4 linked regions of the Anolis sagrei genome follow. Each later gene encodes a partner of the first gene's protein in a complex. Links are inferred from orthologs where the notes say so. Each region holds a gene or a part of one and is shown in the gene's direction. Other genes may lie near its edges. The genes, in order: CACNB2, CACNA1S, STAC3 and CACNG1.

Region 1 (7,734 bases):
TCCAAAACATTTTGAAAATTGCTGCTTAATAAAAAAAATCAATACTGATGAAAATACCAAGAGTTTGGTTATACCAATTATATTGTTTTAAGTTTGCTTTGAATTTGCTCCGTTGTGTAGGATTGTGTGTATATACTTGTAAATACTCTATGTAAAGGCACCAGCTCCTGTTTGATTTAGGATGTTAAGCATGATCAGCTCTGTTCAGCACTTGGATGGGAGACCACTAATGAATGGATGCTGTAGGCCAGTGGTTCTCAACCTGTGGGTCCCCAGATGTTTTGGTCTACGCCTCCCAGAAATCCTAGGCAGTTTACCAGCTGTTAGGATTTTCGGGAGTTGAAGACCAAAACATCTACGGACACACAAGTTGAGAACCACTGCTGTAGGTGATATTTCAGAAAAAGGACCATGCAAAACCTCTGAGTATTCCTTGCTAAGAAAGCCTATAAAATCTATGGAATGGCCATAAGTCAACAGGTGATTTGTGTGTACAATTTGACACCAGTTTAGCTTGAAGAAAACCCAAACATTGAGGATTTTGCCAAGTAAGTGTCAAGTAAAAATAATGTGTTTTAATGTTTAGAACATTTTCTCAATAGGCTTAAGTTGTAAAAATCCTATTGCCACTAGTGGTTCTAGTTCCAATTAAATAACAATTCTGTTTCTTAGTGAAACTTCAGGCTGGTAGGTTTACAATCCACGCTTTTGTAATATAACCTTAGACTTTTGTTTAATGACACCTAAAAAAGAACTAGTGCTTTTTGTTTGACTTTGAAGATAAACAGTTGCACAGATATGTGAATGACGAGTGATGACAAAACCCATTTTGTAGTGCTGCTTTGCATTCCTCCCTTCCGAGTCTTTCCTTAAACAGTTGCTTCATACAACGGTATGCTTAAATGTAGCAATAGCCTCTTCATAGTTTTTTTGTTAAACATCTCTATGAAGACAGAAACAGAAAAATACGTGAGTGCTTAGGCATATTTCACAAGCCATCTCATATGTTAGTTAGGAAATCTCTTTCCTTTACTGATGTTGTTGTACTCATTCATTGAAAATAACAGCCAAACCAAAAAGTCAAAGGTCACTGATGCATTATTAATGTATGTGTATGTATGTATGTATGTGTGTGTGTGTGTATATATATATATATATATATATATATATATATATATATACACATACACACACGACAAGTGAGGCAACTGGCACCCTACCTATCTGACGAGGCTCTGGCAACTGTCATGCATGCCACAATCACGTCTAGGCTGGACTATTGCAACACCCTGTATGTGGGCCTACGACCCGAAAGCTTCGTATTGTTCAGAATGTGGCAGCCAGGCTACTCACGAGAACGCCCATGAAATGCCATATAACACCAGTGCTGCAACATTTACATTGGCTTCCAACTGAGTACCGTAGCCTGTATAAGATGCCAGTTCTGACCTTTAAAACTCTTTACGGCCAGGGTCCATCGTACCTTAGGGACCGCCTCTCCTTCTCCCATCATTGGAGGTTGCAACGACCAGCCCAACGTGACTTACTCCATATACCGGGTCCTAGAGAAGTGCACTTGGAAAGGACCAGGCGCGGGGTTTTTCTATTTCTGCCCCTGCCTTGTGGAATTCCTTGCCGCCCTACATGAGAGCCATGCGTGACTTAGGGCCTTTTACTCTCGCACTTAAGACCTGGCTTTTTACTAGAGCATTCAATCTCTGTTAATTTTTAATTTTTGTATGTATGTATTTTATCTTTTATAATTTAGTTGTAAATTGCCTAGAGCATTCTCGGATGGAGGGCGATTAATAAGTTATTAAATGATGATGATGATGATATATATATATATAACCATAGCGTCTTCCTGGAGGACTAAGGCTCCCTCTTAATATTCTACAGTTGTTGTTTACAGATGAACATTAAGAAAATGAAACTAATGACCATGGATGATTTATACAACTTGATGAAGACATTGAAATGGTTCAAGATTGTCCGTACTTTGGTACAAATATTAATCAGAATGAATAATTCAGTCAAGAACTTAGAAGACTAGGGGTGAATGTACACTCCAGAATGGATGCAGTTGGACACCACTCTATGCAAAGCCAATCTTAAGAAATGGACTACAAAGTGGAGTCCATGATATGCGACTGTGGAGAAGAGTAAACCACAGGCTACTGACTACAATGCAGCCTGAGCTCCGCCACATGCACAATGACCTACTTATGGGAAAACCAGAGGAACTTGAAGTGGCCAGCTTCTGGAGAAAGGAAATTTAGTATAATGCCAAGTTTTAAACTTTGTGTGTGGGGTTTTGGCCCCTTGGTGGTGCAGTGGGTTAAACCGCTGAGCTGCTGAACTTGCTGACCGAAAGGTTGGTGGTTCAAATGCAGGGAGTGGGGTGAGCTCCTGCTCTTAGGCCCAGCTTCTGCAACCTACCAGTTAGAAAACATGCAAATGTGAGTAGATCAATAGGTACAGTGTCTGCAGGAAGGTAAAGTCACTCCATGCAATCATGCTGGCCAAATGACCTTGGAGGTGTCTATGGACAATTCTGGCTCTTCAGCTGCATCACCCTCCAGAGTCGGACATGACAGGACTTAATGTCAGGGAAAAACCTTTACCTTTACTTGTGTCTTTTAAAATACATTATAATTGTTTTCTTAATTCACCTGACACGATAAAGAAATAAATATTATATATACCCCACTTTTTCTCTTCACAAGGAAACTGTCATGGAAGTTGTAATTTGACAAGGTCTTTAGTCTTGGGTTCCTCTGCACTGTAGAAATAACATAGTGCTGCATCACTTCAACTGACAAGGCTCAATGCTATATGGAGTCATGAAAGTTGTGGCTTTGCAAAGGCCCTGTCAACTAGATCTGGGCAAACTTTGTCCCTCCAGGTGTTTTGGATTTTAACTCTCACCATTCCTAAAAGCCTCAGGCCCTTTCCTTTCCCCCCTCAGCCACTGGAATTGTGGGAATTGTAGATCAGGCCTGGGCAAACTTGAGCCCTTCGTTTGTTTTAGACTTCAAGTCCCACAATTCCTAATAGCTCCAAGCTGAGAGGGAAAAGGAAGGTGCCCGAGGCTGTTTGGAATTGTGGGAGTTGTAGATCAGGCCTGGGCAAACTTGGGCCCTAACTGGGAAGCCCTGGCTCTTGAGCGCTCCAGCTGGAGGTCAGCTGTGATCAGCAGTGCTGTAGAATTTGGAGATGCATGAATGGAAGGCGAAAGGGAGAAAGTGCCAAGAGGAAGGCACGTCAAGCCAACTCCGACCACGACTGCCTTCCACCTGGAAACCAATGCTATCACTGCAGGAAAACATGCAGATCAAGAATAGGGCTCCACAGTCACCTACGGACCCACCGCCAGTACACCAATCTTGGAAGATAATCCTACTCGGACAACGAGGGATCACCTAAGTTAAGTTTGGACTTCAACTCCCACAATTCCTAACAGCCTCAGGTGGAGTTGAAAAAGGAAAGGCCTGAGGCTGTTGGGAATTGTGGGAGTTGTAGATCAGGCCTGAGTAAAGTTGGGCCCTCCAGGTGTTTTGGACTTGAACTCCCACAATTCCTAACAGTCTCAGTCTGAAGGGGAAAAGGAAAGACCCTGAGGCTGCTAGGAATTGTGGGAGTTGTAGATCAGGCCTGGGCAAAGTTGGGCCCTCCAGGTGTTTTGGACTTGAACTCCCACAATTCCTAACAGCCCAGGCTGAGAGGGGAAAGGAAAGGGACCGAGGCTGTTAGGAATTGTGGTAGTTGTAGATCAGGCCTGGGCAAACTTGGGCCCTCCGAGTGTTTTGGACTTCAACTCCCATAATTCCTAACATCCTTAGCCTGAAGGGGGAAAGGAAGGTGCCCAAGGCTGTTTAGAATTGTGGGAGTTTTAGATCAGACTTGGGCAAACTTGGGCCTTCTGGATGTTTTGGACTTCAACTCCCACAATTCCTAACAGCCAAGGTTGAGGGGGGAAAGGAAGGGGACTGAGTCTGTTAGGAACTGTGGGAGTTGTAGATCAGCCCTGGGCAAACTTGGGCCCTCCAGGACTTCAACTCCCACAATTCCTAACAGCCTCAGTCTGAGAAGGGAAAGGAAGGGGCCTGAGGCTGTTTGGAATTGTAGATCAGCCCTGGGCAAACAGTAGATTAGGTCTGGGCAAAATTGGGCCCTCTGGTGTTTTTGACTTCAACTCCCACAATTCCTAACAGCCCCAGGTTGAGGGGGGAAAGGAAGGGGCCTGAGGCTGTTTGAAGTCCAAAACACACGGAGGGCCCAAGTTTGCCCAGGCCTGCTCTATAGAGTGGTGGTGATGCCTCACCAAACTACAACCCCCAGGACTCTAGCTAGCCTTCCAAGTGTTCCCATTCTACAACGTGTGGATGCAGGCCAATCCCTTGAGGAGACATAGTAAACCTTCCAACTTTTCTGAGGAGGAGCTGCTGCCCAAACTCGACAGAGCTCTGCTCCTTTCACCTTCCTATCTTCCCCCAACCATCTTTGGCTTTTCTAAAGGCAAAACATGAGGCATCTTCGCGGTCGTCTCCCTGCTTTTCATCAGCGAGGACTGAGGAGGAGGAGGAGGAGTCGTTGCCTCCCCTTTTTTTGCTGGAGCGGTTGCCATGCGCTGTGTTTTCCTTGATTGAAGCAGGGCGAGGCGAGCGGCTCTTTTCCTCCCCTCCCTCCCTTTCTTTCCTTTCTCTCTTTATTTTCCTCCCCATTTCTTTCTCCATCTCTTCAGTCAGCAAGAGAAAAAAGAAAAGAAAGAATGGCCCATCCCTGAGGCAGCAGCAAAAGCCGTGCTCGTGGAAGAGCAACAATAGTAACAATAACTGCAACAACGGAGGAAGAGGAGGCGGTGGCTGCTCAAGAAGAAGGAGAAGAAGGAGACGGAGAGAGAACTCCTCAGCTGAGGAGGCGCTTTGTTCGTGGAAACTCTCTCTGTGTGACTTGTGGGCTGCTTGCTTTCCGTCCCCTCTTCTCCAATGGTCCAAAGCGACATGTCCAAGTCGCCTGCCGCCCCAATCTTGGCGTCGCAGGAGGTGCAGATGGAGCTGCTCGACAATAATAACCCTCCGGCTCTAGTCACGGCGGCGCAGGTATGGTAGAAAGGCGAAGGACGAGGATGAGGTGATGGCATCTACACCGCAGAATCCTTGCAGATTCACACTCGCCTGCTTGATGCCTCGCCAGGCTACGACTCCCAGGGCTCCATAGCATTGAGCCATAGCAGTTCAACGCGGTTTCTTTCAAGCTGCATTCATTCCACATTGCAAAGGCACCTTACAGACAGCCACTTTTCTTCCCTCACATTTTGGGGAAGTTTCAACCGCCTTTTGTGCCTTTTTCTTCCAGCTTGAGATGGTTTGTGCTCAAGTTTTGATATTGAACCTCTCAGGGTGCATCTTCTACCTCGTAGAATTGATGCAGCTTTGGCAGCAGCACTTTATGACTCTAGCGATACAACCTACAGTCTTTTACAGTCTTGGGAAGTTTTAGTTCCTCTTTGTGCCTTTTTCTTCCTTCAGTCTTTCTGAGGAGACTGTGTTTGGAAGGGAAAGCTGAGGAAATTGTGCCCAAGCTTTGATCTTGAACCTCTAAGGGTGCATCTTCTACTCTGTAGAATTAATGCAGTTTTGGCAGCACTTTATGGCTCTATACAACCTTCAGCCACATTTCTTTTACAGTCTAGGGAAGTTTTAATTCTCCTTTTGTGCCGCCTTTTTCCTTCAGTCTTTCAGCTTCTGAGGAGACTGTGTTTGAAGGGAAAGCTGAGGAGATTGTTCGCGACCAAGCTTTGATCTTGAACATCTCAGGATCCATCTTCTACTCTGTAGAATTGATGCTGTTTTGGCAGCACTTTATGACTCTATACAATCTTCAGCCACATTTCTTTTACAGTCTGGGGAAGTTTTGGTCCCCCTTTTTGTCTTTTTCTTTCAGTTTCTGAGGAGAGGGTGTGTTTTGAAGGGAAAGCTGAGGAGATTGTTAGTGACCAAGCTTGGGTCTTGAACCTCTCAGGATGCATCTTCTACTCTGTAGAATTAATGCAGTTTTGGCAGCACTTTATGGCTCTATACAATCTTCAGCCACCTTTCTTTTGTAGTCTGGGGAAGTTTTAGTTCCCCTTTGTGCCTTTTTCTTCAGTCTTTCAGCTTCCGAGGAGAGAGTGTGTTTTGAAGGGAAAGCTGAGTAGATTGTGAGTGAACAAGCTTTGATCTGGAACCTCATAGGGATGCATCTTCTACTCTAGAATTAATGTAGTTTTGGCAGCATTCCTTTATGACTCTATCTATACAACCTACAGCAACCTTTCGTTTACAGTCTGGGGAAGTTTTAGTTCCCGTTTTTGTCTTTTTCTTTCAGTTACCTTGGAGAGACTGCGTTTTGAAGGCAAAGCTGAGGAGATTGTTAACAACCAGTCCTTGATCTTGAACCTCTCAGGATGCATCTTCTGCTTTGCAGTTTTGCAGCACCTTTTATGGCTCTATACAACCTGTAGCCACCTTTCTTTTACAGTCTCAGGAAGTTTTAATCCCTCTTTGTGTCTTTTTTTTCCTTCCATGTTTCAGCTTCTGAGCAGAGAGTGTGTTATGAAAGGCTAGCAGAGGAGATGGTTAGTGCCCAGTACTTGATCTGGAACCTCTAAGCATGCAACTTCTACTTTGTAGAATAAATGCAATGTTGACGGTAGCACTCTATCTATAGAACCTACAGTCACCTTTCTTATACACCTTTCTTATATTTTTCCTTTCAGCTTCTGAGGAGAGAGTTTTGAAGGGATAGCAGAGGAGATTGTTAGTGACCAGTCCTTGATCTTGAACCTCTCAGGATACATCTTATGCTCTATACAAGTAATTTAGTTTGGCAGGACTCTTTATGGATCTATACAACTTACAGCCACCTTTCTTTTACAGTCTCGGGAAAGGAAAGCTGAGGAGACTGTTAGTGATCAAGCTTTGATGTAGAACATCTCAGGATGCATTTTCTACTGTGTAGAATAAACACAGTTTTTGCCAGCAGGTCTTTGTGGCTGTATCTATAGAACCTACAGCCATGTTTCTTTTATACTCTGGGGAAGTTTCAATCCCCCTTTGTGCCTTTTTTCCCCTTTCAGCTTCTGAGGAGATTGTTAGCGACCAGTCCTTGATCTTGAACCTCTCAGGATGCATCTTCTGCTCTGTAGAGTTGATGCAGTTTGGCAGCACTTTTTATGGTTCTATACAACCTACAGCCACCTTTCTTTTACAGTCTCAGGAAGTTTTAATCCCCCCTTTTGTGCCTTTTGTCTTCCTTCAGTCTTTCAGTTTGTGAGGAGAGACTGCATTTTGAAGAGAAAACTGAGGAGATTGTCAGTGACCAGTCCCTGATCTGGAATTCTAATGGTGAATCTGTTTTGGAGAATTAATGCAGCTTGGCAGCCCTTTAGCTGTCATGGCTCAATGCTGTGTAATAGTCCAAGTTGTAGTATTACAAGGGTGCAACTACACTATAGAATGGATGCAGTTTGACACATCACTGAACTGCCCTGGCTTAGTGTTACAGAATCATGGGAATTGTAGTTTTGCAAGGGCTTTAGCCTTCCCTGCCAAAGAGTGCTGGTACCTCACTGAGTCCTGCTAGTTAAAAGTGGTGTCAAGCTGCATTCATTCCACGTGGTAAAGGCACCTTACAGCCACTTTCCCCTCAGTTTGGGAAAGTTTCAATCCCTCTTTGTGCCTTTTTTCTTCC
Region 2 (7,416 bases), on another chromosome or scaffold:
ATTCTTCCTTAAGACTGAAGGGGCAGGGAGACCTCCAAAATGGATGCTTCTACCCTGGAAGCAGGGGTGGGCCCAAAGAGCTACTGTTTGGCCAATCATTGCAGGGAGCCTGCAAACTGGCTTTCCTGCTTCTGGCTGCTAACCTTTTAGGCCTTGCAAAGGCTGCAGCAACCTGGGAGAAACACAAGGAGAGGCTGTTTCCAGCAACTAAAAGGTAATGCAAAACCCATGCTCCTGGGAGACGGAACAAATTGTATCCACCTAAGCAACAGTTGCCTCGGGATGGAAAGATGAAGTGAAAAGGGAATCTTTTTAAATGGCTCAAATATTTATCACAGTATATGCTCCAAGACTACATATGTGAAAGAGAACAAAATATATGAATGGTCATCCAAAGGAGAACTGGAAGTTAAAGTGGAATGAGATTATAGTCAGAGCAAAGGGGATAGGAAAAATATAAGGATCTGAACCAAAAAAAAAAATTCACAATTGAACCAATAATATAAACCAATGAGAAGAGTTACATCTGTTCCTGAAAGGAGGGGATGGGAGTGGAATTGTGGAGATAATGGATAGGTATAAGCAATGGATAGGTATAAGCAATAGATGTTTGAACTGTAAAAGATAAAATGTAATAAACAGAATGTATTATATGAGGTAAAAAACAATAATAAATTGTGTATATGCAATTGTGACAATGTTACAAATTAGTTACATCTAACCAATAAAAAAATTAATCACAGGTAATAATAATGACATATGAAACTCCACAGCAAAACTCAGATATATTCAAGAGCAAATTAAATGACAGAAGTTTGCTGCGTGTGTGTAATGATCACTAAGATGAAAGAGAATGGTAGTTTGAGTTGCTATAACCTAGAACAGACACGGGCAAACTTCGGCCCTCCAAGTGATTTGGATTTCAACTCCCACAATTCCTAGTAGCCTACTGGTAGGCTAATAGCTGGTAGGCTATTAGGAATTGTGGGAGTTGAAGTCCAAAACACCTGGAGGTCTGAAGTTTGCCCGTGCCTGGCCTATAGGCTGGCACTTGGAAAATCTCCCTCCCCTACCACCTCCACTCATATCTTACTTTAGGCAAACTGGCTACTGGCAAATCCATTTGAGGGTCTACTCATGCCTATTTTAGGGTTAACCCAAGATTTCATTACATTTCCTCAAAAAGAGGGGGGCCAGTTTAGAGTCTATACCAAATGTCAAGTCACCACTTTAAACAATGTTGACAGAAGATAAAGAATGACCTAGCTTTTAATATTGCAGACAACCATGAACACTTATTCAATGAAGGCTACACATATATTACAAGTTTGGGGACCCGTAATGCTGCTGTTATAATAATAACTTGCTAATATGTTTCAGAGCTGTCCTATTCATCTTAAAATGATTACTACCCAGAGGCTATTACGTGGATGCTATTTTTAAATAAACTGTAATCCATGGTCCATTACAAGCATCAGGAGCTTTGCCAAGCACTCTGCAGTTCTCACTCAGGACTTCAGTGAAAACAATAGAACTTTAACAAGATGTAAATGAGATGCTGTAGGCTAGGCCTGGGTGTTGTCTCCTCTAAAAACAATGCAACAATGGATGAATATTTGGCTTTGGTTTAATTGCTCATTGTTTTGTCATTGATTCAGATGTGCTGATATTTAATAGAACAAAAATATTTATGGGCCATATAGCCCATTGAAAAGATGGTCTATCCTAGGTATGGGCAAACTCAGGCCCCAGGGGCCAGATGTGGCTCCTTGGGTTCTTTTCTCAGGCCTTCTTCCCTCACTACATCCCATCCTTCCTTCCTTCCCTCTTTCCCTCCCTCTTTCTCTTACTCTTCCACCATTTCATCCTTCCATCCCTCTCTCCCTCTTTCTCCTTTTTTCCTTCCTTCCTTCCTCCCACCCTTCTCCTTTGTCTTTCCTTCCTTCTCTCTTTCCTTTATCATTTCCTTCTTTCCTTCCATCCTTCCCTTCTACCCTTCATCCTTCCTGCTCTTTTTCCTTCCTCCTTCCATTCCTTCCTTCCCTTTTATCTTTCCTTGCTTCCCTCTTTCCTCCCTCCTTCCCTCTCTCCCTCTTTCTCCTTCCATTCTTCCATCCTTCCTTCCTTCCTTTCCTTTCCTTTCCTTCCTTCCTTCCTTCCCTCTTTCCTTCCTCATTCCCTCTTTCCTTCCTCATTCCCCTCCTTCCTTTCCTCACAGGGCAGCCAGTCCTCCTAGCAGGGAGTGCTAGCATGGGGCCTCCAAGTTAGAAAGTTTTCCCATGCCTGATCTAGCATTTCTAGTCACTATGGAAACTATCATGTAGATCTGAATATTTCAAAGAAGCAGCTTTAGCAAGATGACAAGACCTGTGATAAACAGATGAACAGAATGAAACAGAAAGTAGCAGTGGTCGGCAGCCCCATGGTCTGTTGAGGCTGAAAAAAATGGCATTACGGCTGGCCAAAAGAGCCAAAACAGCTGGAGCCCAGTTTGAAAAATAGATCCATGCACAATCCTAATAGGTACAAGTTCCAGTGTGAACATGATCATATTGTACCTGCCTATGAGGATCCCCTTAAAGAAGATGTGTGGGGGAGGGGGGGCGGGGGCGGGGCGGCGGATAGAACTAAACAGTAAACAATGGCAGAATAGAGCTAATCACTAAGAACTCTTTTTTGAGACAAATCAATCAGTTTAAATCTCAAGTTATTTTTATCATGTTTGTGAAGAAATGGCCTAAGCTTCCAGTTAGCACATTATGATTATTTTTGTCTAAGTAAGACATAGGACTTCCCTATGTGTAGATTTGAAGGCTACTTCCAGAGCCTCTGGATCTCAAGGCCTGGTCTTGTGTTTTAGATTTGACTGATATTCTATGATTCATGAAACAAGGGCGTGAAATTTTCGGGTGAGAAAGTTGTCTTTATATATAGTACGTCACATACATTCCACATTTCTTTGATTCTAAGATGCACTTTCTTTTCTGTATAAACAAGTCAAAAAAGTCTTAGAATTGCAGGTGCTTTTTGATATATCTAAATAATACTTTTTTGTTGGTGGTACTGGAATTAGTATGCTTCTTACAATTGATGGTGTCTTAAAACTGAAGAAATATTGTGTGTATGTGTGTGTATATATATTCATACATATATATATATATGTATATATGGTCTCCGTTACTGTGTGAAATCTTGACTGTTTCAAGACCATCGAAGTATATACCCGTATATACTTGAGTATAAGCCAACCAAATATAAGCCGAGACATCTAATTTTACCACAAAAAAGTGGGAAAACATATTGACTCGAGTATAAGCCAAGGGTGGGAAATGCAGCAGCTACTGGTAAATTTCAAAATAAAAATAGATACTAATAAAATTACATTAATTGAGGCATTAGTAGATTAAATGTTTTTGAATATTTACATAAAACTGTAATTTTAGATAAGACTATCCAACTCTAAACTATTATTCTAACCTTCTTCAATGTAAATGTGCTTTCATATCCTTCCAATACCAATAAAGAGAGTAAAATAATAAATGCAGTAATAATAATAATAGTAATAATAATAATAATAATAATAATAATAGTAATAATAATAATAACAGTAAAATAATAAATAACCCTGACTCGAGTATAAGCTTAGGGGGTGCTTTTCAGTCTCAGGGCTGAAAAACTCAGCTTATACTTGATTATATACGGTAATCCATACACTACTAATGTTGAAGTGGCTTTGATCCTGATAATACAGGCAGCAGCTACTCCTTTATAAATCTGTCAAACATGAATCAAAGTGAATTAAAATGTTCCTTTTCTAAGCGCTGATATGTGAAGCCCACCTCCCCACCCACATCCTTTCCCCTGACCTGGATTGGTAGCTCAAAAATGGCCATGGATTGAGAACGAAGAAGGAACAGCTGTTCCTTTTGCTGTCTCAGGAAATCTGACAGCCCTGGGAGCCAGGCTGGGGGCTAATTATAAACTCTGCGCTGGGTGTATTTGTGTCTGTGGGAATGTCATTCCCAGCCCCACATCCCACACCGCCTTGATAAGTTTGGCTCAGCAGGAAAGAGGTCCAGAGGGGGCTTCAGCCGCCCTTGTGCTGGGGAAGGGTGGGGGGCTGGTTGAAGAACAAAGGAGAGCCAAAGAAGGGGCAAGACAAGTCTGCCTGGAGTAAGCAACTGAAGGAGAGTGATCATGGAGGCCACTTTGGCCCAAGATGACAGCTTGAAGAAAAAGCAACAAAAGGAAAAAGCTAAGAAAGCAGCCCTGGAACTTCCTCCCAGGCCTCCTCGATCTCTCTTCTGCCTCACTCTCCAGAATCCAGTGCGCAAAGCCTGCATCGCTATTGTGGAATGGAAGTATCCTTCGGTGAAAACTATGGGGCTGGCTCTAGGCTGACGTGTATGTGCTATGGGCACCAGCTGAAACCAAAGGCAAAGGGCTGGGGAATATTTATTATCAATGAACCTCTCTTGTGAAAGATAAACCCTGAATATGATTTTCTCTTCTCTAGAAATGCTAGAAAGCCACTAAATTTTGGCATTTATGTCTGAGAGGAGAAGCAGGGAGATGAGGAGGGAAGGAAGGTATTTAAGAGAAAAGTACTGCATTGATCCAGTCTGAATTGGTAGGTGGACGTGAGTGTGATTTGGAAAAAAATACTGTAGCAGGAGTTATAGTCTTCTGTGGCCATTCATAGATTAAGAAACACTTGGAAATGTACAACTGTAGAATCCATTATGGTTCAAAAGGATATGTCATGGATTCCAAAAGAGATGCGTATGAGTACAGAATGAATGTTTACAGGTTATTTCATCTAGCTTCTCAACTTCAGTACATTGAATATAGATACAGCTTCTTCCCACTTTTTACATATCTTTGAGGAGTCTAATAACATTCAATTCAAGGGCCAATGCATTTTACTCTGTTGTGAAGATTAATTTTGCTTAAGAGTCAATATATTGCTTTATTTGATGTGAGGATATAATTTTCTCAAACTCAAAATGAGCTATCAAGCCTTCTTTGATAGCATGGAGCTTACCTTCCTACCATGTAATGTAATTATGTGGATTATGCTATGTCTTGTTCATTTATATTGATCTATAATTTATTGAATTGTCTTCAATTTGTTGAGTTCTTTATATATTATTGTGGGCATGGAATGTTTGTCATGGTGTATTTTGTTGTAAGTCGCCCTGACTCCCTTCGGGAAGATAGGGCAAGCTATAAATACAGTTTCATTTCATTTCATTTCATTGCTTGCTGGAGTAATCAGATTTTTAAAACAAGCTATTTCTGGAAATGTGCAGACCTGTCTCCTATGCGGTGGCTTTTTTTCTCCTGCTTTCTGCTTTTGACGTACTATAACTTGGACAAAATGGATTAATTTCTCCAAAGAGCTATTTTTGAAATCTTTTAAGTACTTCTGGGCTGAGAATGGGAGAAGAAGGTCAGGGCTTTGGATTAGGTGCTCTTCTTTATATGTTTCTGAGCCTAATGATTCTATGCTAAAGTTAGTGGCGTAAAAAAGATCATAACTGGAGTCAAGAAACCGATCATTCTTGTATAAGTCATAGAATAAAATAGAAATCCAGTTGTTATTTAATATTGGTTAAAGGATGGAAAATGTAGTGTTAAACTTTTCCCAATCATTTAGTGAAAAAACAATTGAGTTAGGACTGTGTACAGTAGGAAGAAGGCTTGTGTCTTTAAGCTAATTTATAATTTGAACAACAAAACAAATTACAGGTGATGCCAGCAGAAGCCCTATATACTTTGGGTCCAACCTATCCTTGAGACTGCATCTCCTACGAACCAGCGTGGGCACTAAGATCTGCTGGGAGGCCCTTCTTTTGGTCCCACCACCGGCACAAGTACGGTTGGTGGGGACGAGAGAGAGGGCCTTCTCAGTGGTGGCTCCTTGGCTCTGGAATAACCTAAAGAAATTAGATTAGCTCCCTCTCTTCAGGCCTTCTGGGTGAGTCTAAAACATGACTCTTCAGACAGGCCTTTGATCCTGAGTAATCCATGACCAATGTGATGAATCATTAATAGTACTGGCCCACACTTTGATTGATTGTTATGACATGTAGCCAGCTGGCAGGTTTCACTGTGTATTAGGAATGTTGTAATTTTCAAATTCTTATAATTTTATTAATGAGATTTTTATGTGCTGTTGATTATGTCATTGTATTTCTAGTTATATATTGTCGTCTGCATGTGGTGCTTGGAGTGCTTCTGTGAGCTGCCCTGAGTCCCTTTGGGGAGATGGTGGCAGGGTACAAATAAAGATGATGATGATGATGATCTCTCAGTTGGAGAATAAAGATTACTCCCTAAATGCACTGATTTTAGGAAGAATTTGGAAGCTACTGATACAAAGTATAATTGCTTTCTGTTACTTTTATTACACACAGAGTGTGTAACAGTTAAAAATCAAACTTTAAAAACAACATAACAAGTAAGAGCAAAGCTACTTGTACATGTAGCAGCATCTATTATTAAAAGGTACTGTTAATGGCATTAAAGAGCGACTTTGACAGACATTTTAGAGTTTTATGCTAAAACACTAAAAGTTTTTACCTTCAAAAAGCAGCACATTAATGTAAACATAAAAAGCAGAATGTGTAATGTAATAAGTAAACACTCCCTATCATCATCATAAATAGCAGGACAGATCACTTTTTAAAGACTGTAGTAAGTAATGAAATACTTTTGACAAAGGTATTTCCAAGCTCTGATTTTAAGCCCATTAAAGCTAGCAGCAGGAAATCTGACCTGTAAGAGAACAAAAGCACTTGAATTTATGGGAGAGAGAAATTAGATTATTGTCCTTAGAATATAAACGAGTAATAAAAACATCACTCAAGGCTAAAACTTTTACCTCTGTCATGAACCCACCCTCAGTATCTAGCATTGGGTTAGTAATATTGATTTATAAAAGAAATAAATTATGAATATACAGTAACTGAGGTAATACTATTTCTGATAGCAGTAGCAAAAGTATGACATATGCTGAAGCTAATGGAACACTGGCTTGGAGGCTGTTACAAAGAGATGGGCATTTTAGGAGGTGTGAACAGTGCATGAAGGTGTTTTCTGGAACATCTCAAGGGATGTGTCTGCATTTATTCACAAGTCACGTAGACACAAAACATTATTTTCTCCCATTGATATAGCTGTCCTCTGCTTTTACTTGCAGATCATCATGAGTTGCTTTGCTTCATTGCATTTCCTAACTTAGTGTCCCCCGAGATGGCTATAGCACCTTTTCCCCTTCACATACTGGAAACTGATTCACTCTCAGTTTGGTTCCTAATATTAGAACTCACTTGCTATCTTTATCTATTGGATGGGCACAGTATCACTTGCTCTATGAATCTCATAATTTAGCTGGAAATAATTTATTGTGTG
Region 3 (7,682 bases), on another chromosome or scaffold:
GTGAATTGAACTACAGTAGCAATGTGTAGTATGACATTCGCTCAAAAGATGGCATTAATCAAATGAATACTATCATCACTATGAGACAGGCAGGTGATCAAAGAAAATGTTGAAAGCATGGTTGTTGTTTAAGGAGCACAAAACCATTTTGAAATGCTATTTGCAGTTTGAGAATGCTGTGGAAGTAAAACAACAATAGAGGCAACAGAACATCCAAAGTGTCTAACAAATGCAGTTGTTCCTGATCAGTTTGAGACACATGATGCTGTGTGTGATGTGCACAAGGGAAGATTCAGGAGACGTTGCACAGCAACAAGTCCTGCTTCTCCTATGATGTTGGAACAGTTTACACACTCACCGGAGATGTCTACCAATCAAATTGCACATGAGACAGGAATTAGCTGGCACATTCTTAAATCAGTAAATTGGGAAGTTTTCACCTCAAGATTATTACATGCACTGAATGAAGACAGCCCTGATCTCAGGGTTCAGTACTGTGACTGGTTCCAAAAAATAGTATAGAAGGATGAGTTTGTGGAGAAAATGATTTGATCTGACAAAGCACAGTTTAAATTGAACAGAAGAATGAAGAGGTGCAGCCAAATTTCCCCCACGTTCTCCAGACTTAACACCCCTTGACTTAACACTCCATGGCAGTAGTTCCCAACCTTTTTTGACCAGGGACCACTCTCCAACATTAGTACCAAAAGGATTACGAATCAGTTTTTAGTCAACTTTGGATTTGTTTGGTTATTTGGGGTGCTGATTCAGAAAACTGCATTGCAAAGGCCACATCAGCTCTAGTTTCTGATACAGAACACGTGCCAGCTGTGGTAGTAGTAATCTTTCGTGGGTAGTCAGCCTCTCCCCTACCGACATCCCCATTGCCTTAGGACTATAAGAGGGTTTTGCAAGACCAATCACTCTTGTTGCTTCGTGGTTTTGAGGCAACTGTATGGTAATGGTTAAGCCGCAGACCATATTTTCATTCTGGACCACTGGCAGTTCACTGACCACAGGTTGGGAACCACTGATCTGTGGAGACCTTAAAGGATGTGATGTACCATAGAAACCTGCTACACTGGCAATACTTTGGGAATAAATTGAAATGGCATGCACAGCGATACTAGTGCACACTTTGGTCAACGATGCTCAGGCATAGTCCACCATAATCAGAAGTGTCTGGAAGCTGATGGTAACTATTTTGAGCACCTCTTGTAATTGCAGAAGCCAAATGTGACTTGTATTTATCTTTTGTGTTTGTGATGTGATATATATTATTACAATTTTAATTCTGCCTTTTCCTATCTTAAAATGTATTTTTAGCACCCTTGGTATTTGCCATGGATGGTTGAATCTGTGAATGCATAATCTGTGGATAAAGAGGGCTGACTGTACCACCACTGACTTGAAAAGCATTTTGAAAGGGTCTTGACTAGATCAAAAATGAACACTAGTGATTTTGTAATTGGGGGACAAAACTTTAAGGATTTTTTTTAACCTGGTATATTGCATAAGAGAAGCTGTTATGTGTTTAATATTGGTATGAAAGAATCTATTCAGTGGGCAGGCACAAATCCACTTTCTTCTGGATTTTGAAGTGAGATGGAGTCAAAGGGATCAAAATTTAGTTTGATTTTCTCAAAGTCATGGATCAAACTTGGAATAATGGATGAAATGACTTCCCTCAAATATGCAGACATCACAGCACTGGCCAACATACAGAATTGAGAGTTAAGAACATCCAGATTGGAGACTGACTTCCAGGCAAGCTTCTGCTCCAGAATCTATTCATTTTAGATATTCACCTAGATAAAATGTCTAAATGGGGTATGTTTGAAGGCTGCAATGTAATTTCATCAATGTATCAGATCTTAACTATATGGAAATGTAAAATGCAGACTTTGGCCGATCTTTTCTGCTTGTTGGAAGAAATTAATCAAAGAATGCTGAAGAAGTTAATTTAGTCCTTCTTTAAAAGACAGATAGTAGCGTTATCTGATTCGTTATTCAATTATACTATCGCCCTAATCTAAAAGATCTGCAAATCAGAATATGTTGATTTGTAGAACCGTTTTATGTTTTTGTGCTTCAAAAACAACCATATTGAATTTGCCAAGTAACTTAGAATTCTTTATAAATTATGCAAAACAGTAAAATGTCATATGCATGTTTTGTACAATTAATTTGGCTTCTAGATTTGAGAAGAGGCATAATTTTTTGTGAGCAATGAAACTGCATCATTGACCCATTACAACTAATCGCCTCTCTCTGATACCAAGGCTAAGGTTCTTTCCACACAGCTGAATAAAATCCTACATCTGTTTTGAACTGGAATATATAGCAGTGTGGACTGAGATAACCCAGTTCAAAGCAAATATTGTGGGATTTTCTGCCTTGATATTTTGGAATATAGGGCTGTGTGGAAGGGCCCTTTGAATTACCAAAACATTACAGAATATAGCAAATTTAGCTTTTATTTCAATTTTCCCAATGTCTCTTCAGGAATATGTCCCTTTAACTTGAGTGGAAACTGTTTCCATGTGAGAGGTTATAAGATTATAGCCCCAGTGCCAGAGAAACTGACATTTGAACTGGGGGCCCTTCCACACTGCCCTATATCCCAGAATACCAAGGCAGAAAATCCCACATTATCTGAGTGCGGACTCAGATAACCCAGTTCAAAGCAGATATTGTGGGATTTTGTTCCTTGATATTCTGGGATATAGGGCTGTGTGGAAGGGTCCTAGGTGCGCCTTGGATTCTGTTTGCTCTGCCGACAAATTAGTAGGCAGCCTTAAGCAAACTACATTTTCTCAGCCCACCCCACCATTACTGCCTTAGTCATTTTCTAAGAATAATGCTGTCTCTACAGTACTTGGATGATGTCTTTATTCCTCCACATTGAAGTACTTTGCACATTTACAGTTGATGAACGTATCTCCCTCTATGAACCACCTAGGATCTTAAGATCATCTGGGGAGGCCCTGCTCTCAGTCCCTCCACCTTTGCCATCGCATTTGGCTGGAACGAGGGTGGTAGCCCTCGGCTATGGAATTCCCTCCCAAATGAGATCAGAACTGCTCCATCACTCCTGACCTTCCGGGAAAAAAGTGAAATCCTGGCCGTGGGATCAAGCGTTCACACATTAGACTGATTTGCTGGCAAAGAAATGGTTTTAATGGACTATGTTGGACTGGTTTTAGGATGATGACTTAAATTGGAGAACTGTTTAAATGTTTTTATATTGTTTTATTATAATATGTATATTTATGCTTGTTTTACTCTGTTGTTGGCACTATGCTGGGCCAGTTGGTAGCTGCCCTGAGTCCCTTTGCAGGGGTTGAGATAGGATGGGATACAAATGCCCTAAATAAAATAAATAAATGTGGAAGTCAGTCTTGTTCATTGTACAGTAGAGTCTTGCTTATCTAGCCTTCGCTCATCCAACGTTCTATATTATCTAATGCAGTCTGCCTCCCGCCTCGATCCACAGCTGTTTCAATACATTACAATGTTTTGGTGCTAAATTCGTAAATACAATCATTGCTGCATAACGTTACCATGTATTGAACTGCTTTTTCTGTTGATTTGTTGCCAAACATGATGTTTTGGTGCTTAATTTGTAAAATCATAACATAATCTGACATTTGATAGGCACTTTCCTGAATACCTCCTTATTATCCAACACTTTCATTAATCCAACATTCTGTTGGCCCATTTATGTTGGATAAGCAAAACTCTATTGTACTTTGTGAAGCACTTCTATCTGTAAGGAAGATAAGCTTCACGGAAAAGGTCATAGAGGAAATATTAGGATTGTGTGTATGTGCGTTGTGCACAGCTTGTTGAAGTAACTTTTTGGATTATAACTCCCAAAATCCTTAGGGGAGAACAATGGGTTAGGTTGACAAGGAATTGTAACCCCTCCCCAACCCCAGCAGTTTTTCAAAGCTCTAGTCCAATGTCTTCTCCATGTTCCTGCCTCTCTCCCTCCCTTGCCATCTTGTTCTGGAATGACCTGATGAGGTACAAATTTGTAGATCTGAGCTGGTGAATGTGTGATCCAGGCAGCAATGTCTCTTTGAGACCTCATAGGCAAATGAGTCGTAGTTAGGTTCCATCTTTCTCTCTCATACACACTATTTTGACAGTTCCTACCAATCCCCAGGGAGTGGACTGAGCTGTTGCGTTGCTGTCTCAGGCAGTTTGGCCTACTATTCATGCTAAAGCTCCTTGCCAGTGTCCAATTTCTCTGTGTCAGCCCTCCCAATGGATGGCAGCTGTCTTTTCCCCTCTCACCCTGTCACTTGAGTTCCTCGCGGTGCTGGGACAGCAAACTTTTATACATTAAGTCCTGGCAAGGGGAAACTCTTTATCTCCTATGGATCTCTAAAGTGAGATATTGGGCCAGACAGAAGAAAGTGAATTTTCAGGAGTGTCTGATATTTTTCAGAAGGATTTAATCTGCTGGAAAGTGGTAGCTTTATTCTTGGAGGTAAGTGCTTTCCACTTTTCCCCCATTGGGTACTGGTATAGTCTGTTTTCCCCCTACATGGAGACCTGAAATTTTTTTGGAGTTTTAATGCTTATGAACATGACAGTTGTTTTTCACGCAAACTGTCGAAAAGCTGTCCTCTTGATTGCCAGTGTATTTTACCCATTTTAATCTGATTGGCTTCATAAGATGGATAAATGCATGTCTTTCAGTCTGTTGAAACATAAAATGGTTGACACTCCTTTTCTGGCTGAGGGTAGGAAGAGATTCAAAGGACAGATAATACTGCAGAAATGTTCTGTTTTCCTATAGTCTTATCAGTTAAGGATTGTGTGGGATTCTCACACATACAGAAACTCTCCCACCAAAGCTTTTGTAAACAAAGATTGAAACATTCCCAAAGCATGCTCATTTTTGTCACCTGATTTCTGCAGACGGATAATTTCCAATGAAATTTGCTGCTAAGCAGGGAAAGTTTAGTACCTCTCAGTCACTTGCCATTTTGAAAAGACAGGGAAGGACGTTTTTGGCCCTTTGTAGAAGCTCTGAGGAGATTACATGCGGGCTTGTCCTTCCTCTTTGAAGAGCAAGGAAGATTTTGTCCTTGGGAAAGCAGCTATTTCAGATGTTCAAAGCAAGAAGTTGAGTTTTACACCAATATGGTGCATGTGATGTTCTTTGTTCTATGCTGGAGGCTGTTCTTTGGTGTCCCAACCATGTAATGGAGAGTTTCTGGTGGAGCTCCAGGCAGCCATGATGAAATCTCTAGGAACCTGAGATGGGTGGCTCCTATGAGATTTGGATCCATTTGTGGACACACAGACACCAGAGCAGTTACAGAATGGAAAGCCAAAATGCTTTTCCACTTACGTCCCGCCAATGACGTGGGTAATGGCACACAAGTACCTTGTGTCATGTTTAGCCACTCCTTGACTGTCATAAAGGCTTCGGAAATGGGATACTGGGAAGCAAAAGAAAAGAATTGCCTTGAGGGCCAAGAATTGTTTCCATGTGTGATATTGTGGTCCAGTCTTTCTGTTCATTACTAATAATACTTTTAGAAAATTTTGGAAAAATGTGCAGCTTGATGTATTTTCAGTCAGCTTAGTGAGATGTTTAGAAGCATATATTTGGATTTTTACCTGGGGCTGAAGTTGTGTTGGGTAAGCATCAACACTATTTTTTACACTAAGCTAAAGTATCTGGAGTAAGAATAATAAAGAATGTGTGGAGAATGCCTTTCCCTCATTTTTGAGTTAGCACAGATTGTCCTTACACATCCATGATTAAGGAACTGGACTTCCCAGCATCTAGTTTATAAAGGAGTGTGGTATTTGTTTGTACCTTTTCAGTGCTGGATGCTGTCTGAGCTCATCAAATGTTAATGACCACATGATGACGTATCACTCCGTTTGTGTACAAGTTTCTTTTGACAATGAATTACTCCTGGCAACTCCCCTTTGGCCATGCTGGTGTGTCTTGTGAATTGTAATCTAACCTCCCTGCTCAAACTTTTCCAGACTCTGTCTCATACCCTCTTGAGAAAAACAGTGCGGCATGGAAAACAAGAGTGTCAATCTGTCGAGAAACTTCTGTACTGTCTCACTTGATCAGATAAACTCCATCTCTGGAACATATATCATCATAGCTTTCTAAGTCTGATGCCATCCTTTGAGCAGATTTTATTGCAGAGTTAAATTTCTTCAACAGTTGTGAACTCTCAGGAATCCTGGAAATTATAGCTCTATGGGTTTTTGCTTCTTAGCACTCACTCAAATTAAACAACATTCCAAGGATCTGTGACCTTAGAATAGATGATACAGAATCGTATAATTGGAAGGAACCACAAGGCACATTCAATCCAACCTCCTGTAATGCAGGAATACTCAGATTAGTTATAAATCCATATAACTGATAAATACCCTTGGTGCTGTTCATTCTGTGCCATCCAGATTTTTTGAACTAAAACTGTTTTAACCTCTGAATTCTGATTTATTTATTTTTTGTTGTGTCAGGAGCGACTTGAGAAACTGCAAGTGGCTTCTGGTGTGAGAGAATTGGCCGTCTGCAAGGACGTTGCCCAGGGGACGCCCGGATGATTTGATGCTTTTATCAGCCTTGTGGGAGGCTTCTCTCATGTCCCCGCATGAGGAACTGGAGTTGACAGAGGGAGCTCATCTGCCTCTCCCCGGAGTCGAACCGACCTGTCGGTCTTCAGTCCTGCCGGCACAGGGGTTTAATCCACTGCGCCACCAGGGGCTCCTTGAACACTGATCATATGCCACCTGAGAGTGATAAGAGCAAGGTTGCCAAGCGAACAGCATCCCAGAGATTTCAGGGCCAAAACCTGGAACCAGGGAGAGGATTCTTGTGATGTCATAGGGTTGGGCCTTGCTCCAAATTACCACGTTGAGCCTCAGTGTGAGCACTCACTGTGTCTCACCCTAGCGCCTTCCCCTATTCGGTGTACCGAGGCTGCTCAAACATATTATGCATGCAACGCTTTTAAGACGAGCCAATGAATCACAATATCAACTGGGAATGGGTGGAGGCACATACCCACATTTTAAGGCCACCTCATACCTAAAAATATCACTCCAGCATTGCTCATCCTGAGATCAGTGTCTTTATCTGGAGAACCAGGAAAGCACAGTAGTTCCCCAAAATCTGGAAACCCTTAAGGAGAGTTATACCCTGAAATATCACCTATTGCTTCCCCTGGTCCTATGCTGAGTTAGACAAAACTTTATTGGAATGCATATTAGAAATGGATCTATACACGTGAATTCTGTTTGCTTGAACTGGATGAAACTTTTAAAAACAGAAAATGACCAAATCTCCAGCCTTAACAGAAAGTAAAAGAAGATCAAAGGTAAATAGCTTGTATTGGACTTGACTAGGAACTCTAGGAGTGGGTGTTTAGATCTAAACAAGCCTGATATCAAAAAATGGGATAACATGGACTAGCTCCCATAACCCTGGCCAGCATAGATAATGGTAAAGAGTGATCAGCATTATAGGCCAATGGTATGTGTTACTAGTTCTCCACCCTACAAACACAATAAAGGAATTCTGTAAAAAAAGTATCCTTTGTATTGCCAAAGGCTTTCCTGGCTGAATCATTGGGGTGTTGTGTGGTTTCTGGGCTCTATGGCCATGTTCAAGCAGTATTTTCTCCTGACAT
Region 4 (8,199 bases), on another chromosome or scaffold:
TGTTGGGCCTTTTCATGCAGAAAACTATCTAACAGTAGCTAAACATCGCTGCCTATTTTCCAAAGCTAGGTGCAATGTGCTCCCGTCTGAATTGCTGTGTGGCAGATTTTCAGGTACTCCATACAATGAAGTATGGCCGAAAGCGAGGAGGAGCTGAGGAGTCTTCTAATCAAGGTGAAAGAAGAAAGAGCAAACGCTGGGTTGCAGCTAAACATAAAAAAACAAAATTATGGCAACAAGAATGATTGACAACTGGGAAATAGAGGGAGAAAACGTGGAGGCAGTGATAGACTTTGTATTTCTATGTGCAAAGAAATACAAATGCAGACACAGACTGCAGCCAGGAAATCAGGAGACGCTTAATTCTTGGGAGGAGAGCAATGTCCAATCTCAATACAATAGTGAAGAGAAGAGACATCGCACTGGTAACGAAGATCCGCATAGTTATAGCAATGGTATTTCCCATAGTCACCTAGGGATGTGAGAGCTGGACTATAGGGAAGGCTGAGTGAAGGAAGATAGATGCTTTTGAACTGTAGTGCTGGAGGAATGTTCTGGAGTGCCTTGGTCTGCGAGAAGATCAAACCAGTCCATACTTCAGGAAATAAAACCCGGCTGCTCATTGGAGGGAAGGATAGTTGAGGCAAAGATGAAGTACTTTGGCCACAACATGAGAAGAAAGGAAAGCTTAGAGAAGGCAATGATGCTGGGGGAAATGGAATTGAAAAGGAAGAGGGGCCGACCAAGGGCAAGATGGATGGATGGTATCCTTGAAATGACTGGATTGACTTTGAAGGAGCTGGAGGTGGTGATGGCCGACAGGGAGCTCTGCCGTGGGCTGGCCTATGAGGTCACGAAGAGTCGGAAACGACTGAACGAAACAACAACAACATACATACAATGAAAGACTCTGCCCATGTAACAAACAGGAAGTAGAGTGCATCTACCACATTCTACTGTCGTGTAGTTTCTATGAGCAGGCCCGAGCAGACATAATCAACCCCTTCTAAGGAATTTACCAGCAAGTTCAGTGAAACTTAATGTAAAGTTTCTACTTAGTGACAACCTTCCCCCATGTTATTCTGATGGTATACATCTCAGTTACTCCTGAGTGTAATGACCAGGAATTGCTTGCAAGGCTATTTGAAGATGGGAAGCCACTCTTAAGTAGGGCGGAATGCCTTCCCTGGGATGGACCATTGAAGCACACTCGGGAACTGGAATTTGAAAACGGGGAGTGGTATCATATCTGTCTCGCCGGAATCTCTTAGAACTGTAGATGCCAATCATCAAGGCATTTTGATTTCTGTGAGGGATACGTGTGTGTGGAGTGGGGGGGGGACGGGACTATTTGCTATAATTGAGCTACTTCTTTTTCTTACTGCTTTTTCTTCCTTTTATCTGAAATCATAGTCACCTCGGGTGACACTCTCCACTTTCCTTTGTGAATGCAGAGCGCAGTGCAATTGAAATGAAAGACCTGAGTCAGAAGCGCCCTAGTTCCTTTTGACAGCCGTCTTGGTTGTTTGGGAATCATATGAGGTTTGTTGAAAATTGGTCTGCCAAGCCCTAGTGGAAAGGAAAGTAACTAGGAGTGCATCCCCACTGAAGGATTAAGGCAGTTGGATTCCATTTTAACTATGCTATGGAATCCTGGGATTTGTGGTTGGGTAAGACATCAGCACTCTTTGGCAGAGAAGTCTAAAGACACTGAAAAATTACAATTGTCATGATTCCATAGCACTGCACCATGGTAGTTAAAGTGGTGCCAGACTACATTAATTCTACCAAAGCCAACCTTAAAAACTCTAGCATAGGCACTGAGAACTGGGAAGCCCTGGCCCTAGAGCGCTCCAGCTGGAAGTCAGCTATGACCAACAATGCTGAAGAATTTGAAGTGGCACAAATGGAGGGTGAAATAGAGAAACATGCCTAGACGAAGGCGCGTCAAACCAACCCCGACTGAAACTGCCTTCCACCTGGAAACCAATGCCCTCACTGCGGGAGAAGATGCAGATCAAGAATAGGGCTCCACAATCACCTACGGACCCACCAGCACACTGATCCCAGAAGACTATCCTACTCGGCCAATGAGGGATCGCCTAAGTACGTAAGTAAGTAATTCTATCAGTGGTTCTCAACCTGTGGGCCCCCAGGTGTTTTGGCCTACAGTTCCCAGAAATCTTAGCCAGTTTATAAGCTGTTAGGATTTCTGGGAGTTGAAGGCCAAAACATCTGGGGACCCACTGGTTGAGAACCACTGACACCCTAAGTTATGATTAGAACAATCCTCCCATGAAGTAGTAATGATTGCATCAGAAGTAGAAAGAGAAGGATAAGAAGAAAAATCCTCTGAGGGTGGATCCAGACAGGTCTTTATCCCAGGAGAATCCGCATTTTTAAAATGTGGATTTTTCTGGGGGCCTATCCACTCCCACCCCAGAAAACGCACACTTTCTGGGATGGGTGTCCATCTGGAGGCACTACCCCCCTCCCCCAATGCTCTCAGACCCCTCTGAAAAGTAAAATAAACTTACCCAGCCTCCAGTGCACTCTTGGAGCAGCTCTCCTGGTGCATAGTAATGACATGCCAGGAAAGCGGGAGGGGGGGTTTCCTCCTCCCCCCTCTCCTGATGTGTCATTTCTACGCCCCTCTTTGGGGGAAAGGGGTGGGTATTTCCACAGTTTTCCGGACTAATTTAGTCCAGAAAACCGTGGAATGATGTCTGGACTGCAATCCAGACACCAGAAATAGTGGGTTTATCCCTCGCCTTCCAAGAAGGCATGGAGTAAATCTATTATCTAATTAATTCGCTACAAACCAGGGTTTTCATGGTTTGTAGTGAATTAATTCGAAGCTGTCCAAAGCGTTGTCTGGACAGCCCCTTCTTTATAAAAGTACTGTGTGGACGGGTCCTGAAATGCAAAAATACTATTGGGGTTACCAAAATATGCATGGATTTCTGAGAACCAGAAAGGTAACAAACATTTCTTATTCCTTTAATTTGATCTACTTCTGGTAACAAGGAAGTTTATGAAGTGTTTATGAAGCGTTGTGGTTTTTTTACAACTGTTTCTCAAACAGAAATAAGGTGTCATACCACTCCAGAGGAGTGACTTTTGTCTGTGGCACAGCATGGAAATGTTACATTCTGGATTTCAACTTGGGATGTCTGTTAGGGAGTCCTGGGAAATTATAGTCAAAAATGTAACTTTTCTGAACTCTGTTCAAGGCAAGAGAAGCACCCAAAACTTAACAGACTTACTGTAGCAGACCCTTTTGGGAATGAAAGTGCCTTCAGTTCTTGAAAGCTTATGGTACAATAGATCTGTTCATTTTCAAGGTACCATAAGGCTCTTTGGCACATTCCTGAGGCATGAGTGTAAGAAAGGATCAACAGGAATGCCATAAGAATAAACCTTACATTGCTTCCTCTGGTAGCTCACACTATCCTTGCAGCTTAACCTGTGTACATTTTCCAACTTTAAATAAGCTTGGGTTGTTGTACGTTTTTTCAGTCTATATGGCCATGTTCTAGAGGCATTCTCTCCTGACGTTTTGCTTGCATCTATATTGTATGTTCTTGTATTATTTTGCATATGTGGAAACCGCTCTGAGTCCCCTAGGGGAGATAGGGTGGTGTATAAATAAATTATTATTATTATTATTATTATTATTATTATTATTATTATTATTAAAGCACTTTCCTGTCATGTAATATAAAAAAAACCCACTTTACCATGACTGAGTCTGCATTCACCTCCTTCATAGTTATTTTTTATTATTTCAAAAACAATGGGGGAGGGGGGGGGGGACTAGAATTGGGAGGACTATGTAGAAAAGGATCTGTCACTACTTCTGTCCACTGAAGTGAACAGCAGATTTCCTTCAAGGACTGCGGGTAGGGAAGGGTTGTTACTGCAGTCTGAAATTGGGGAAGAACTAGACTTCCTTCCTAGTATAGTGTGGTCCTTGTTTTGAGTCCTGCTGTATTGCTTTTGAGCTGTGGTGTTGGAGGAAAGTTCTGAGAGTGCCTTGGACTGCGAGAAGATCCAACCAGTCCATCCTCCAGGAAATAAAGCCCGGCTGCTCATTGGAGGGAAGGATACTAGAGACAAAGTTGAAGTACTTTGGCCACATCATGAGGAGACAGCAAAGCCTGGAGAAGACAATTATGCTGGGGAAAGTAGAAGGTAAAAGGAAGAGGGGCCGACCAAGGGCATGATGGATGGATGGCATCCTTGAAGTGACTGGACTGACCTTGAAGGAGCTGGGGATGGTGACAGCTGACAGGGAGCTCTGGCGTGGGCTGGTCCATGAGGTCACGAAGACTCGGAGATGACTGAACAAATGAACAACAATAGCCCTGGGTTCTTATATCAGTTACAAAGCCATCTTTACCATCTTGGTTTATGCACAATCAGGCCCGTAGCCGGGGGGGGGGGGGGGACAACTTGAGGGGCTTCACCCCCCACCACCACCCCCAAATTCTCAGGGTAGTCCGCGAGAAGGCCTTACTGGTACATTATTTAAACTGTTATGTTTATGGGTTGTTGTAGGGTTTTTAGGGCTATATGGCCATGTTCTAGAGGCATTCTCTCCTGACGTTTCGCCTGCATCTATGGCAAGCATCCTCAGAGGTAATGAAGTGTGTTGGAACTAGGAAAATGGGTTTATAGGTCTGTGTTATGTTTATTCATATCATGATCTGATCACCATGCTCAATATATCCCATATGCATGGGGGTATTGGGATAGTGATACAAAAGGTTTGTTAGGGTAGATCCTCATCCCCCCCCCCCCCCCCGAATCAAACTCAGCCTTCCCCCCGAATCAAAATCCTGGCTACGGGCTTGTGCACAATGTATGGGGGAGAACCCCATGTGGTAACCAGGGGATTTCCAATACCATTCATTACTCTTAGTCCCTCCCTATGAATAGCAATAGCAAAATAAATTGTGTAACAAGAAGTGTGCACACCCAAACACACAAGCACAGATTGCTGAATTCAACCTTTTCTATTGCCTTATTTGGTCTGCTTGCACAGAGGTTTCCAGCATATGTGTTAGTATTTATAGCTTTCAGTTCATACATCTACACAACCCCCAGCCTGGTGCTTGCTATAGGGGTGGTTATTCATTCCCTTAAGTCCATTTTGCTCCAAGACAGCCTTTGGAATTCCCAGAGCAAATCCCGGCAGCCGTAATCTGAGCAGCCTATTCCTTCGCCCAAACTGTGCATTAATAGAAGCCTCACTCACAGCCCGACTGGTCATCTGATACATCTCAACAGCTGTAAGTGCTGCTGCTTGCCTCCCCCAACCCTCTCCTCGCTACTCCTCTTTGCCACTGCAGGGCTGACATTTGAACATGCTTAGATACGCCAAGACTTTGGAAGACAACTCAGATGACTTGCAGTGTTCCTTGTCACCAGCAGATTAATCCAGAACCGGCCTGCACTACTGCGTCTTGGCCTAAGCCTCCCAGCCATGACCGAAGGCAAGGCTTTGAAAGTCCGGGTGACTTTTACCATCATTTTGATAGGCATCGTCTTAATGTTCACAGCGGTGGTGACGGACCACTGGGCCGTGCTGAGTCCTAAGGTAGAAGAGTACAACGCTACCTGCGAGATGGCCCACTTTGGACTCTGGCGGATCTGTATAAAACGGATCTTCATGAAAGAAAATGAGACGGACAAAGAGCAGGGTTGTGGGCCATTAAGCCTGCCAGGAGGTAGGTGTCCCCATATAACCGCCTGACAATGCGCTGCAGAATACCTTAAAACAGCAAGGCAGCTTGAATGTGAGAGGGCATGCTGGGAGAATGGAAATGTCACTACCAATGCTGCTTTTGAGCTAGCCCAAAGCGATGTTCTTTTTTCACACTTCCCTGAGGATCTTTCTGCTTCCTTGGCATGTATTGTGTTAATGTTTGGTGCTGTCCTACTCTGAAGGGAAATGATGGGGGGAGGTGAAAAGCAAAGAGGAGACAGAAGACGAAATATGCTTTCTCTGGAGCCTTTGATCACAGGAGTGTCAACGAACCCCGCCTTGCCAAGTCTGACATAAATCTTTATCCGAATGGCAAGGGTGGGGGGAGATTGGCTTATATAACCCCTACAGTTTCAGATCACGTACTGCCAGCATTTCCATTAAATAGTGCTCCTGATTTGGATAATTATGTAAGCGGGGAGAAGAGGGGGGATACATCAAAATATAAAACTAGTTTATGGCCAAAAGCTACTCTGAAGAACTTTTAATTGCTTAAGATAATAGAGGACTGTCGGCAATGAGCCATTTCACTGCAACTAAAACATCTACAGGTACATCATAGCTAGAAGTAATCACATCTATGTACATCGTCATGTATGACAGTAGAAAGCAACACAGATAACAAAATCCCAGGAGTTGCTTACATGAGGAGTGCTGTAGTGATCTGGCATGTCTACTGTTGTTGCTTGACCTAGGACCAGGGGCGGCTCAACCATTACGCAAAGTAAGCCTTTGCAGTATAGTTGATTTTGCCCAGGGGCGCTCTTGAGGCGCTCTTGGGGGAAAATAGACCTTGACATATGCGAGTTGTAGTTACTGGGATATATAGTTCACCTACAATCAAAGAGCATTCTGAACTCCACCAATGATGGAATTGAACCAAATATGGCACACAGAACTCCCACAACAAACAGAAAATATATATCAGTGATTGGTTTTGGTTTTTTTTTGGGGGGGGGGGCAAAATACTGTTTGCTCACCGTTGAAAATTACCTAGGGCTGCCTCTGCCTAGGACCTCAACTTTATTACGCAGAGCCCCTCTTCAAGTAATGAAGTGATCAGATCAATAGGTCTGGGTGGTGGAGGTAGACTGTGGTTGTAAAAGCTGATTTTCTTGTTGCCTCTGTGCATTGGTTCAAGGTTTGAGTTGATCATGCACATGCATGTAGAAGTGACTGGCTCATATAGGCATATCGGTTCCACTCAGACTATTGATAAAGGCACATGTGTATGGGATAGTGTTGATCAACATACTCTCCCATCCTCTACCACAGTGGTTCTCAACCTGTGGGTCCCCAGGTGTTTTGGTCTACAACTCCCAGAAATCCTAGCCAGTTTACCAAAATAGCCAAGGCCAAAATAGCTGGTAAACTGGCTAGGATTTCTGGGAGTTCTAGACCAAAACATCTGGGGAGCCACAGATTGAGAACCATTGCTCTACCATGTGCTTTTCCTAACTTCTGTGCATTTAGGTTCCTGGGTTGGTCTCTGACAGGACTCTTCTGCTCCACTAGATCTGAACAGAGATATCCAGGCAGGTTGAATTGGGCTCCTTCCACACAGCTGTATAAAACCCACATTTAACTGATTATATGGCAGTATGGACTCAGATAACCCACTTCAAAGCAGATATTGTGGATTATCTGCCTTGATATTCTGGATTATATGGCTAGGTGGAAGGGTTCTAAGATATCTCAGGCCTCATGGGTTCTGGACTCTGGGGTTACCCAACAACTCTTCTTCTTCTTATGGGCTTTGAGAACTGGTGACAACCCATACCACACTATGGGGTGGAGTTTATAATGGAATAACCTGGACATGAGGAAGGCAATGGCTCTTTGCACGTTAGAAAGGAGTAGAGGGGATATTCCCAGAAAGGATGGCACAGCTTTTGTCCTCTGGAGATTTGTATTTAGGACCTTTATATTTTTTTTATATGGGAGCAAAACTATAGGTGGGAATTGTGTTTATTGGTTTACTTTATTTACTTTATGATTATCCTTCATTTCTCCCAATATAGAGACTCTAGGCAGCTAGTGTGTATGTGACTATGTACATCTATGTAAATAAAAAATGTAATGTTCATTTGTGGGATTAATATAACTCAAAAACCACTGGGTGAACTGACACGAAATTTGGACACAACACACCTGTGAGGCCAACAAGTGACCATCACTCATAAAAAACACTGAAAAACAAGGCGGAAGGGACTTCAAAAGCCAAAAAAGCAAAACGACACTACAGCACATGCACAAAAATAACCCTCCCTAGCAAACAAAACACAGAATAGCACATCCACACTCTCTTCAGGACTATAGCTCCCAGCATTCTCTAGACCAGGACCTTTAGGAGAGGACCATGATCCAAATGCACTGCTTCCAAGAGGAAAGCTTGCTTCTCCTTGGATTTCTTTGAGAGCATCCCAATC

Evidence for each region.
Region 2: CACNB2 (region 1) and CACNA1S share a complex: the UniProt entries of both Homo sapiens proteins name them as parts of the calcium channel complex. The link is inferred for Anolis sagrei from reciprocal best matches to the Homo sapiens genes CACNB2 and CACNA1S.
Region 3: CACNB2 (region 1) and STAC3 share a complex: the UniProt entries of both Homo sapiens proteins name them as parts of the calcium channel complex. The link is inferred for Anolis sagrei from reciprocal best matches to the Homo sapiens genes CACNB2 and STAC3.
Region 4: CACNB2 (region 1) and CACNG1 share a complex: the UniProt entries of both Homo sapiens proteins name them as parts of the calcium channel complex. The link is inferred for Anolis sagrei from reciprocal best matches to the Homo sapiens genes CACNB2 and CACNG1.

What each region holds. Positions count from the first base shown.
Region 1 is NC_090026.1:106,409,538-106,417,271, forward strand, and holds the start of CACNB2 (voltage-dependent L-type calcium channel subunit beta-2), read left to right. Parts: upstream 1-4,624; 5' UTR 4,625-4,988; coding exon 4,989-5,102; intron 5,103-7,734. UniProt on the Homo sapiens protein: Beta subunit of voltage-dependent calcium channels which contributes to the function of the calcium channel by increasing peak calcium current. Plays a role in shifting voltage dependencies of activation and inactivation of the channel.
Region 2 is NC_090024.1:185,706,101-185,713,516, reverse strand, and holds the start of CACNA1S (voltage-dependent L-type calcium channel subunit alpha-1S), read left to right. Parts: upstream 1-4,010; 5' UTR 4,011-4,197; coding exon 4,198-4,361; intron 4,362-7,416. UniProt on the Homo sapiens protein: Pore-forming, alpha-1S subunit of the voltage-gated calcium channel that gives rise to L-type calcium currents in skeletal muscle.
Region 3 is NC_090022.1:185,456,187-185,463,868, reverse strand, and holds the start of STAC3 (SH3 and cysteine-rich domain-containing protein 3), read left to right. Parts: upstream 1-4,272; 5' UTR 4,273-4,498; intron 4,499-7,682. UniProt on the Homo sapiens protein: Required for normal excitation-contraction coupling in skeletal muscle and for normal muscle contraction in response to membrane depolarization. Required for normal Ca(2+) release from the sarcplasmic reticulum, which ultimately leads to muscle contraction.
Region 4 is NC_090022.1:180,612,641-180,620,839, reverse strand, and holds the start of CACNG1 (voltage-dependent calcium channel gamma-1 subunit), read left to right. Parts: upstream 1-5,146; 5' UTR 5,147-5,488; coding exon 5,489-5,732; intron 5,733-8,199. UniProt on the Homo sapiens protein: Regulatory subunit of the voltage-gated calcium channel that gives rise to L-type calcium currents in skeletal muscle. Regulates channel inactivation kinetics.